2 linked regions of the Arabidopsis thaliana genome follow. The protein of the gene in region 2 interacts with the protein of the main gene of each other region in a pairwise test. Each region holds a gene or a part of one and is shown on either strand. Other genes may lie near its edges.

The links.
Region 1: the proteins of TPR7 (region 2) and ATERDJ2A interact in a protein complementation assay, tested with the Arabidopsis thaliana proteins (one study listed by BioGRID).

The regions. Positions count from the first base shown.
Region 1 is NC_003070.9:30,067,739-30,073,956, forward strand, and holds ATERDJ2A (DnaJ / Sec63 Brl domains-containing protein), read left to right. Parts: upstream 1-1,780; 5' UTR 1,781-1,931; exon of another isoform or gene 1,932-1,974; intron 1,975-2,250; exon of another isoform or gene 2,251-2,253; 5' UTR 2,254-2,284; coding exon 2,285-2,470; intron 2,471-2,548; coding exon 2,549-2,644; intron 2,645-2,734; coding exon 2,735-2,855; intron 2,856-2,969; coding exon 2,970-3,076; intron 3,077-3,162; coding exon 3,163-3,380; intron 3,381-3,488; coding exon 3,489-3,666; intron 3,667-3,743; coding exon 3,744-3,863; intron 3,864-4,085; coding exon 4,086-4,172; intron 4,173-4,332; coding exon 4,333-4,443; intron 4,444-4,659; coding exon 4,660-5,499; 3' UTR 5,500-5,702; downstream 5,703-6,218. Other genes in the region: AT1G79950 (RAD3-like DNA-binding helicase protein), read left to right, coding at 5,842-6,078. UniProt on the Arabidopsis thaliana protein: Required for integral membrane and secreted preprotein translocation across the endoplasmic reticulum membrane.
Region 2 is NC_003076.8:7,271,446-7,277,104, reverse strand, and holds TPR7 (Tetratricopeptide repeat (TPR)-like superfamily protein), read right to left. Parts: upstream 4,035-5,659; 5' UTR 3,711-4,034; coding exon 3,615-3,710; intron 3,503-3,614; coding exon 3,272-3,502; intron 3,136-3,271; coding exon 3,079-3,135; intron 2,965-3,078; coding exon 2,836-2,964; intron 2,650-2,835; coding exon 2,572-2,649; intron 2,451-2,571; coding exon 2,380-2,450; intron 2,258-2,379; coding exon 2,208-2,257; intron 2,068-2,207; coding exon 1,920-2,067; intron 1,763-1,919; coding exon 1,249-1,762; intron 1,159-1,248; coding exon 1,015-1,158; intron 934-1,014; coding exon 787-933; 3' UTR 526-786; downstream 1-525. UniProt on the Arabidopsis thaliana protein: Plays a role in protein import into the endoplasmic reticulum (ER). May function as chaperone docking protein during post-translational protein translocation into the ER. Chaperone receptor mediating Hsp70-dependent protein targeting to chloroplasts.

The DNA.
Region 1 (6,218 bases), on a different chromosome or scaffold from region 2:
TAAAGCTCTTCCGTCCAAAACCAAATTATTTATAAGTTGAAAGATTATACAACTAACTTTGTATGCGTTAATGATAAACAACAATAATAATTCTAAACTATTTGAAAAATATTATTAGCTAGTAAATGATTTCTGAGTTGGATTTTTTCGAGATAATGTCACTGTTTACTGGCATTTCAATCCTACTGTTGCAAACCTTATTTTGTGAAATATTCTTAGTGTGGACAAAAATCTTGGATCGTAATCATCTAGTACAGTACTTTCTAATCGTCAATTAGATTGAAGAACTATATTAAATGTTTACATATATTTTTGGTATCACTTGCTTCTTTATTTGCATCTTTCCTACCTGATCTTAAGTTTACTCGGTTTAAAACTACTGTATATAGCAAACTTGCAATGACATGCAATATGCTATGATTGTTTTCTTTTGTTATAAATGTTAATATCATATATAAAATGAAAGAAATGTATTACAAAAGAGCATTAACCTAATCACCAGATTGCGAAAACCTTTTAGATGTCTTCTTGAAGATATGGTATTGCAAATTTCACGGTCAAAATTCTTGAAAATGATCGAAGAAAGCAGTGACTGTGAATTATGTAAGACATTATTTACTTGTTTTCAAATGTGGTAAACTCCACCGTGTGCTGCCATTTTTTTGAGAGTGGAAGGAACATTTGGTGAACGAGTTTTTGTCCAAGAGAGAAGCTCAAACTATGTGGAAGGCATATGCGTGTGCTGCCAGTTTCTTGAGAGTGGTAGGAACATTTGGTGAACGAGTTTTTGTCCAAGAGAAAAGCTCAAACCATGTGGAAAGCATATTCGTGTGCTGCCAGTTTCTTGAGAGTGGTAAGAACATTTGGTGAACAAAAGCTCAAACTATGTGGAAGGCATATGATGCGAGAAATGCTTAACCGAGAAAAAAATTAGCCTCCAAATCTCACAAGCAAAATCTCAAGTTAATAAGCATTTTAGCAGTGGTGTCTATGTACAACAATATCATAATATGAAAGCCAGTAATAAAATTTAAATGGTATGAAAAACGATAATAGCTATATAATAACATTTTCTTTGTTTTTAATATCTATATTTTGTTTTAGTTATATATAATATTAACATGTCAACAAAGTTTTCAAATAACTGATTATTTAATATAATCAAAACAAGTAAAATTATACGATATTTGGCTAGATTTAAAACGACTATTTTAGTGAATCGAATAACCAAATCATACCAAACTCATTCAAAATCATTATTAGCTTTCGTTACAGTAGATAAAAAAGTATTGGTAACCATGCTCTTATAAATTTAATTGAATTAGACAGTTTATGATTAAATCGATAATAATAACGAAGATTGATGTATTTTGCAAGTAGAACAATTTATTTCTGGTCGAAATATAAATAGTTACAACAAAACAGTTTTCTTAAAATCATTAAATATTTGTTTTGTTTAAATCTCTATTTTGTTGTAACTATTTACAATCTCTAGATCACATTAAATCTCTAGAACATATAAGAGATTTGTTGCAATCCCTATTACAATATCTGGATCACATTAAATCTCTAGAGCATATAATCCCTCTTTGATCCATATCCTTTTCTCTTTTTCCTTTCTAATTTATAAAAAATGTGATTTTTTTTGGGAAATTCGTTTTCGTTCACCATAAAAACTTTGCTATTAATAATTACTCTAATTTAATGGAAAATAAATAACTCGTAAAAATGTAAAGAGAGAAATGAATTGCGAAATATTTTAATTGAGAAGGTAAAGAAAAGTGAATAAGCAAGTAAAGAAGAAAGAACTCACCAATCAGAAATCAGAAATTAGAAGAGAAGAGAAGCATAAAGAAAAAAAAACTGCAACGCCGTTTGTTGCCGATCTGCAGCAGCGCGATCTCTCTGATTATAGAGAGCTATCATCCTAGGTGAGCTTCTTCTTCGATTTCCTCTTCTACAATATCCTTTCAAGTTCGATTTCATCTTCTTTCACCAATTATTGGTTTTGCTTCCTTCCCGTAGTTTCGTTTGTTTGTTTTCTAAGGTTTTGTGTCGATCTCAAAGTGAGTCCAGGGATTCATATACCTTTAGACTAGATTAGCCGAGATCTATTAGTGTTGATCTCCGTCATGTAGAATCCCTAATTAATTTCAGTGGCCTCAGATCCAGCTTTTCATGTTATTGATAATTTTGTATCCTTGAAGCTTTTTGGATGTTGTGAGATTATAACAGAGCTTTTCCTTTCAGCAGAATAGAATCTCTCAGTTTAAAGGCTCCAAAGATGGCGGCGTCAGAAGAGAATAGCGCATTGTTTCCCATTTTTATCTTGACGATTATGGCAATTCCTTTGGTGCCTTACACCATGGTCAAGTTAAGCGGTGCTCTCTCCAAGAAACAAAGGACCATTCATTGTCAGTGTCTCGAGTGTGACCGTTCTGGAAAATATAAGAGATCCTTGTTTAAAAAGGTTACTTTCCACTCAACCTCCTGCTCTGTAATAGATTATTGCATGTTCCTAACCTCTTCTTCACTTATCTATCTGCAGATCTCTAACTTCTCTACGTGGAGCAACTTGACACTTGTGCTACTCTGGGTCGTGATGATTTTCTTGATTTATTACACTAAGAACATGAGCCGTGAGGTAATCCCATTGCTTGCTGTTGAACTTGAATGCACCGCTGACTTATATCAACTAATTCTACTTGCTTATTTACCTTCTTTTGTGTTACAGGCTCAAGTTTTTGACCCATTCAGTATACTTGGACTGGAACCTGGAGTTACAGATTCAGAAATAAAGAAAGCATATAGAAGGCTGTCGATTCAATACCATCCTGATAAAAATCCAGATCCAGGTCAAGTTTTTCCCCTTGTTATTTTTTTTTTCCCTTTTGATCATTACGGAATTATGGTTGCAGCTTTTGATCCTGATAGTTTTTTCTTCTATGCGCATTTGTTGATCTCTACAGAAGCCAATAAATATTTTGTGGAGTTCATATCTAAAGCATACCAGGCTTTGACTGATTCAGTATCCCGTGAAAACTTTGAGAAGTATGGTCATCCAGATGGCAGACAGGTAAGGATACATCTCCTTTCCCTTCGCATGTGCTCCCGTCTTATTGACAAGCCTATTGAGACTAAAATATTGTTATGTGATCGCAGGGATTTCAAATGGGCATTGCTCTTCCTCAATTTCTTCTAGACATTGATGGAGCATCTGGTGGCATATTATTGCTTTGGATAGTTGGTGTCTGTATTCTCTTGCCCCTTGTGATTGCTGTTATATATCTCTCGAGGTCATCAAAGTATACTGGGAACTACGTTATGCATCAAACACTCTCCGCATATTATTATCTAATGAAACCCTCTCTGGCCCCAAGGTATATTCACTCATACCCATATACATTCAAGTGATGCTATTGGTGCATGACAAATGGGCTGTGTTTTCGTTTGTTTGTATGACATGTTTTAAAATTTTTATTGTCCAGCAAAGTTATGGAAGTTTTCACCAAGGCAGCTGAGTACATGGAGATTCCAGTTCGTAGAACTGATGATGAACCTCTGCAGAAGCTCTTTATGTCTGTTAGGAGTGAACTAAATTTGGACCTGAAGAACATGAAGCAAGAGCAAGCTAAGTTTTGGAAACAGCATCCTGCCATAGTGAAGGTGAATTTTAAAATTATGCAACTGTAATGCTAAATATTGGATAAACTGAAATACTCACTTCCTCAATTTCTGTACAGACCGAGCTGTTGATACAAGCCCAGTTAACTCGTGAATCAGGAGTCCTGTCTCCAGCCCTTCAGGGTGATTTCAGGCGTGTGCTAGAGCTTGCACCTCGCCTCCTTGAGGAGTTATTGAAGGTCTAGTCTCTATTTAAATAACACAATTTCTGATAAAATAACCATCAAAAAGCGATGACCGCAAAGTGCTAACCTAGAAGATATGTATTTTCCTTTAGAGGAACTCGAAACAGACTCTTAAAAGACTTAGAAATTTAGGTTAATAGTGATGCTTTTGGTTACACTGTTAAATTGTGGTTTTCTTAACCATTCTTTCATTATAACATTGTGAGTTTCTTGCAGATGGCGGTTATACCACGCACTGCCCAAGGGCATGGATGGCTGAGGCCTGCAGTTGGAGTAGTTGAGCTATCTCAGTGCATTGTTCAGGTCTTAAATTGCTCTCATCGCCTATCTTCTAGTTTTTATTTGTTTGTGAGCTTTCAGTTCTTTATGTCTCTTTTCTCCACAAGATTTACTTCTTCCTGAAAGTTTAAGAAGTGCTTAGTGTTGTTGTCTAGGAACATAAACTAAAAATCCAAAATCGCAGGCTGTTCCTCTTAGTGCAAGGAAGTCTTCTGGAGTATCATCAGAAGGCATTTCCCCTTTCTTACAGCTCCCTCATTTCAGTGATGCCGTTGTCAAAAAGATAGCACGGAAGGTATACTACTATCAAATGTGTCAAGTGCAGTACTAATATCTAGTTCCATATCATGTGCATTTTTCTCTCACTTTTTGATTCCTGAGAATCTTGTTGGATTCTGTTCTCCAAATAAGTAGTAGTGGTTCTTTAGGTTGGTTTACTTAAAGGTCTAGTCTAAAGACATATATAAACCTCCATTTTATGTTAACATGTCATTGTTTCTCCTATTTTCAGAAGGTTAAATCATTCCAAGATCTTCAAGAAATGAGGTTGGAAGACCGTTCTGAACTACTTACTCAGGTAGCGGGTTTATCAGCAACTGATGTTGAGGACATTGAGAAGGTGCTAGAAATGATGCCGTCTATTACAGTCGACATCACATGTGAAACAGAAGGGGAAGAGGGGATCCAAGAGGGAGACATTGTGACCCTTCAAGCTTGGGTCACCCTGAAACGACCCAATGGGCTTGTAGGCGCTCTTCCTCATGCACCCTACTTCCCCTTCCACAAGGAGGAAAACTATTGGGTTCTTCTGGCTGATTCAGTGTCGAACAACGTTTGGTTCTCTCAGAAGGTTAGCTTCCTGGATGAAGGTGGAGCGATAACGGCTGCATCAAAAGCCATCAGTGAGTCAATGGAAGGTTCGGGTGCAGGGGTGAAGGAAACAAACGATGCAGTGAGAGAAGCGATTGAGAAGGTTAAAGGAGGGTCAAGGCTGGTCATGGGTAAACTCCAAGCACCGGCAGAGGGAACATACAACTTGACTTGCTTCTGCCTGTGTGACACATGGATCGGGTGTGACAAAAAGCAAGCACTGAAAGTGAAAGTCCTGAAAAGAACCAGGGCAGGGACACGTGGGTTGGTTTCAGATGAGGGTGCGATTGCAGAAGAAGGTATGGAGGAGGAAGATGAGATTGAGGAGGAGGATTACGATGATGATTACGAAAGTGAGTACAGTGAAGATGAGGATGAGAAGAAAGATATGGATGAGAAGAGAGGGTCGAAGAAGGCCAATGGGAGTGTGAAACAGAAGAAAGAGTCGAGTTCTGAAGAGTCGGGATCGGAGGAAGAGTGAAACAGAAATGAGATTTTACATTGATAAACAAAACAAAAAATACAATACTTTTGTCCTGGAATCTTGACGGAAACTTCTTTTTCACAGTTTTGATATTCTCTCATTGGCTCCCTTCTCTTTCTTTCTCTCTGTATCACTTTTCTTCAGAGACACACATACAAGCAAAACGCGACTAAGGAGAAAATCGTACTAACTCGGACAAATTTTGGTACACAGCATTACAAAACAAAACAAAACTTTTTAACTCCCCCAAATAGTTTAGGGTTTAGGGTTTATTGGGGGCCCCAATACAGACCATCAGGTATCAGGTAATGGGCCTTGTTAATAAAGTAGTGGGTTATAATGGGCTTTACGGTTGTTTCAAGAAGTGGAAGCCCTACAAGGCGGGAAAATCAGAAGAGGCGCGTCTGCTTCCGTCTTCTTCTTCGTCTTCTCCGGAGAGGTTTTGTGGTGTTATCGGCGGAATCCGACCCGAAAATGCCAAATTACAGCATCAGAGGAATCAATGTTGAATTCCCATTCGAGGCGTACCAGTCTCAGATCATATACATGGACAGAGTCATCGAGTCTCTTCAAAACGTGGGTTTCCCTCTCCCTCTCTCTCTCTCTCTTTTTTACACACCAACTCTCTTCAACTGTTTTGTTGATGATGATATTCGCGTGATGATACTCTCTCTCTCTCTCTCTATTCTGTTGTTTATTTTGCTTTCCCCAATTCT
Region 2 (5,659 bases):
ACGTGTTTCCTTCTCTTGTACTTCATCCTTCTAAGTTTTTTCTTTATTTTTTACTTTTGAAGAATGTGTATTCAGTCGTATATTAAAATAATTAAATTATCTAAATTTTGGGTGCACAAAAAAAAATATAATTTAAAATTTAATGAAGTTTTTTTATTTTTTTAATATCTATGAATTTAATAAAGTTTAAGATGATTTTATATACTTATTTCAAAATTTCTCCTCGCAAAATTTGCAAACGTTGGATTGCGAAAAAAAAATTTTTTACTCGAACTTTTCTCTTTAGAACATCTCCAACTCATCTTTATTTTTGTCTTTAAACTTTATTTTTGCCTCTATTTTACTCTAACTCATCTTTATTCTTACCTCTATTATAGAGATCTTTATTTTTTTTCTCTATATATAAAAATAGAAAATAAAAATCTCTATTTTTCCTTCTATATTTATAAAGAAAAATAGAGACAACCATTAGAAATGGTCTTTTCTATTTGCTAAAAGAATCTCCCAACGCAAATAACCAATTTTCTTGTAGAGGCGCTCTACCAGAAGCATAATTATGTTTATAAAATAACGAATATAAGGAAATATTCGTATTTTCTCTAATTTAAAATTCACTACAGAAGAAAGTGTAAAGAAATTTAGACACAAGTGGACTAACAAAAAGCTGAGAGTTAGAGGAAAGAAAAAGAAGATAAAACGATGTTACAGTTTTACAAACTAAACGAACCCACCGAAGACTGGTTTTATCTTCACGAAGGATTAAGCCTTAAGATACCGTTGTTTCCTCTAGTTTCCAATATAGCCGAGACGGTGAAGGACCATTGCTAAAACGAGCATTAATATTGCAAAGATCAATCCGCCTTTTCCGAACAACCACTTCTTTGCTTTCTTCGCTTTCTCCATCCCGGTTTGAGCCCGATCCGCCCATCGCATCTGCAACAACGTGTTTACAATTGAGACAACTATACAATCAACTTTGAATGTTCTTTTGGTTTTACTAAACCGAATTCGTACCATTTTCTCCAAGGCGTCGGGAGAAAGAGAAGCCATGGCTTGCTGAGCTTTTGCAGCGTCTTCTTGAGAAAGCTTCATTCCAAATTGTTCGCTCATGCTAGCCATCATCTCAGGGTTCATGTTCTTTATCATAGACGTGAACATCTACCAATATACAGAGAAACTACTATATGAACATCAACAATCACATTATGTTGACTAAATTGGTAAAACATAAACCGAAAATGATCAAACCTGTCGCATCGCTGGATCTTTCATTTGGTTTCTCATCTGTTCCTGTAAGTCAGCAGGCGGAGCAGAAGGGATGCTTGGTTCGAAACCGCTTCTTGGAGCCACAAAGGAATTTCCCGAAGAACTCCCACTCGCTCCTAAACTTTCCCGTGGTTCAGATGCTTCTGCATTGCCGTATGATGTTGAAGCTGGAGCGTTTGCTTTCAAAGACGATGCCATGTTAAACATCCTCTCACGCTCTTCTGGTGACATCTTACCCATCATATCAGATGCAAGTTTAAGCATGTCAGGTGTGGGTGTAAAACCGTTTTCGGTAGATGGCGCAGTCGGGGCGAAAGGGTTATCTCCTTTAAACGAAGAGGCTGTTTGAACCATTTTTTGAATCTCTTCAGGTGACATTTTGCCTATCATACTTGACGCAGTTTTGAACATGTCCGGTGACATGTCTCCAGCTTTGCCTCCGCTTAGAGCAGCAAGTGTATCGGGATCAGTTTTTGAAATGAAATTCTGGAAAGTTCTGCAGGCCATAGAAAGAATAAAAACAATTAGAAAATCATACTAATCGTGCCAAATGTAGCAGAAAAAGGATGCTTTAGATTATATTTGTCTTCAAGATTAGGAGACAAAAAGATGAAACAACACATCAAACACTAATGTTTGGAAAGGTGTCGAACCTGATTGCTTCTGGATTATCTCTGAGAGCTTGCAATCCATCAACATCAGTCTTTACGCCCTGAGCATGACCATTAGCCTCTTTTGACGGTTTTTTATTCTCTCCGGAAGTAACATTATTTTCTTCAGTTATGTCTTCAATCACCACACCTAATAACCAAACAACATAACATTTTTCAGTTCGTTTCCATATTCATGGACGAAGCATATCATTGATGTAGTAAAGAAACGTCTGGTCTGACATAATACACTGAATTCTTTCGAATAAATCATAAGGAATAATATTATACCTCTTGATGCCTTGCCAGGTCCCTCGACAGCCAATCTTTCCTTAACATCTCTGCATCAGAAAAGATAATACTTCAAGTCAAAAGTTATTTTTTCAATGTTAATATCAAAACCTCTGAGATAAGCAGAACTGAAAAGTATGACATTACCAGTAATGAATATAAAAATCCATACCTTAACACATCGGCAATTGTCTCATCTTCTGGGGAAACTTCATGGGCCTTGCTTAGATCAGAGACGGCATCCTTATAGTTTAAGAGAGTGAATGAGCATTGAGCAAACATATAGTCAGGACATATCTACAGTACAAACATATATATCGACAAGGAATCTCAAGAAAGTTCCATAAGCAACAGAAGAACTCACTTCAAACAAGCCCAAATCTCTGTAAGCTTGACCCCTTCTGTATAGGGCTTTGACATTCCTTGCATCATATCCCAAAACCTGAAATAATGTAAGAATGTAAATTTATCAGAAGAATGTCGAAACAGTTTTGAATAGATCATAAAACGCTGTATGACATCATGTGTTACATCTACAAAAAAGAAGCCAAAAGATTGCCATCTCTCTTTTTCCTAAAAATGTTTTCATCTATGAGTTTTCAGAAAATTAAGAGCATAAAGAATATACCTCAGAACCTTCCTTTATGCACTCTTCATGCTGATTCGTCTTCAAATAACACGACATTAGATTGAGAGAACAAGCCAACAAAATTGCTCCACCTTTAGAAGATGGAATCTCTTTCAGATTGTTCTTCGCCTGAGATATGGTCCAAGAGCATTGTAAACAAGTAGAAAAGAATCGCATATCAGGTTACAAATAAAACTCTTCTTGTCAAGTAGCATGACAAATGAGATACGTCTGCAGACTTACACGCAAGTATTTCTCTGCGGCATCGCTGAAATTTCCTCGGCTATGAAGCTCGTTTCCCTGCCAAACGTAGTAGAAAATGAGATTAACATCAAATTACACAAAGGTCCACTTGCTGAAGCCATTCTTGTTCCTTACTTTATAATCAGGAAAGCAAAATTCAATAGAAAACTTCTCTCAGGAAGTCAATTGTTACCTGTTTTTTAAGCATCTGAGCTGCATTGATCTGATAAGTAAATTGAGCATCAGCATGAGCACGCATAGCTGCAATATCTTCAGGGGAAGCTTTAGCCATCTTCTCGCTAATCTCAGCCATATCTTCAGGCCGAGTATGCTTAAGCTGTTCCGCAGCTTGTTTCAAATCTTCAGGCCTCATGTTCTTCATACTCTCTGTTGCCATATTCATCAAATCTGGATTTGACATCATCTGTATAATAAACAATGGTATAAATTCATCATACAAAGCCATAATCAAATCAAATCAAACAAATTCTCCTCAGAATCGATCGAATAATTCGAATCAGGAAAAATAACGAAACCTGTTGTTGGATCCTAGCGAAATCAGCAGGAGTCATACGACTCATCTGATCTTGAGCGAGCCGAATCATCTCAGGATCCATTAACCCGTTAAACATCGTGTTTTTTTTTCTCGAAGCTTCGATGTGGTTCTCTGTAATCAGATCGGAAACACAGAAAATCGAAATTCGCCAGAGAAGGATAAGCTCGGAATCTGGATCGAGATTGAGTTTGTGAGAATCGGAAAATCGAAGGAGAATTGTTTTGCCGACCCGAAAGTAGTTTCCAATAATATAGAATCGAATTGGAAAATTTATCGCTCAACCTCCTCAATTCACCGACCGGAATATGCCTGGATGATGGAGAATGACTGTTTTACCCTTGATCTACGATGATGCTGTGACGTGCCATAATAAATTAATTTACGTAATTGTATTGATTAACGTAACTATATGATTACGTGCAAATTGTCATGTCCTTGTCCATGTTGGAAGACTAATCTCGTGTTTTTTTTCTTCTTAAACTGAAACGAATCTCTTGTTAAACTCTTTTTTATTTCGTTTTAGAAAGAGTCGTCCAATTTAACTGTTACACGTGTTAAAGTGTCAATAAAATTCAATTTAAATTTGTTTGAGGGTACAAATAATTTTTTGATATTTTAAAATTCTTTAGGGTCTGGATATCGATATCATATGTTTGCCCAGCTACATCTCCATGATATAAGCTCCGAATGGTGATTGCGTTTTGCGGTGCGGGAGAAGTACGGTGCGGTTCAAATAGTAACGAAAATATATAGATACATATGAATATGTAGAGATTTTAATACTGTTACAGTACTGTTGCGGTGCGGTTTTAAGTGCGGTTTTGATTACCATTCAGAGCCATAATATATTTGTTGGAATCCAAAAATGTTTAGTATTCAGTTTCATAGACTCAATCTCTAAAGTAATCCATTTATTAAACTTTAAAATATGCATGTCTTCTGCAGAATTTTTAGTATCTTAAATATCAAAATGATCTTAACAAAAAAATACATATGTACAACTATTCGGGCAAAGAATTTTATTTCAATACGACAATCTTTTCAGTTGTTGAACGAGTTTTAGTGTTTTGACCATACAAAGAAAAAAGACGAGTTTTAGTGACATATAAGTTGTGTTTGGTAATACTTTTTTCAATATTGTTTCGATATAGTTTCATCGACGAGTACATCTATCAATTAATTTTTCTGAAATGTTTATTTCTCTCCACCGCAGCATAAATGTTTCAATGTTTGAAAGAATGGAAACGGTGGTATAGTCACATTAGAAGAGGACCACTTTGACTAAAGCTAGCTACAACTCTCATCTATCTCTCGTCTCCCAATTTTTCAATATTAGCAGAGATTATGATTCACTAAATGATAGCAGTCTGAGAGAAGTGAATGTTGATATGATTTATGATTATCAATTAACTAATCACTAAGTACTATTGCAGCGAGAACGAGGAAATTCTAGCAAACCTCTTCTTCTTGGTCACAATGAAACCAATGGATTAATAAAGTTATATCATATAACAAACAAGAAGGAAACAATATCTTCAACTTATAATTAATAAAGCAATATTGCTAAAGCATTCTGATACATGTTGTGCAACATCTCTCGAAGCTAGATTACAACATGCATGTGCTTCTAAATAGATTACAACAAAGCAACTTTTTAACATGTTTACACGAACCAAAATATGCATACACATATATAGCCTTGATTTTATAATTCACATAGCCCTTGTTATCCTTTAGAATACATCGTAGACACATTCTTACGTATTCTACTATTATATGGCAAAGCAATCTAGGATAATGAGTGAGTTGTATTTTTTGAATGTACCCTCTATTGTACAATGAAAACGAATGTAAATATTCAGTTTTGTTTTTGTTGCCCACATTTTATTGCCGTAAATTGCAAACTATTTTTTTAAAATTGATATGCTAGGGAAAAAATGAGTTAAAGAGCATGATGGAGGAAACAGAAAGAAGAAGGCTTTGAATTTTGATGGTTGTCGGGACGTGGAGAGGATCTCACGTGGC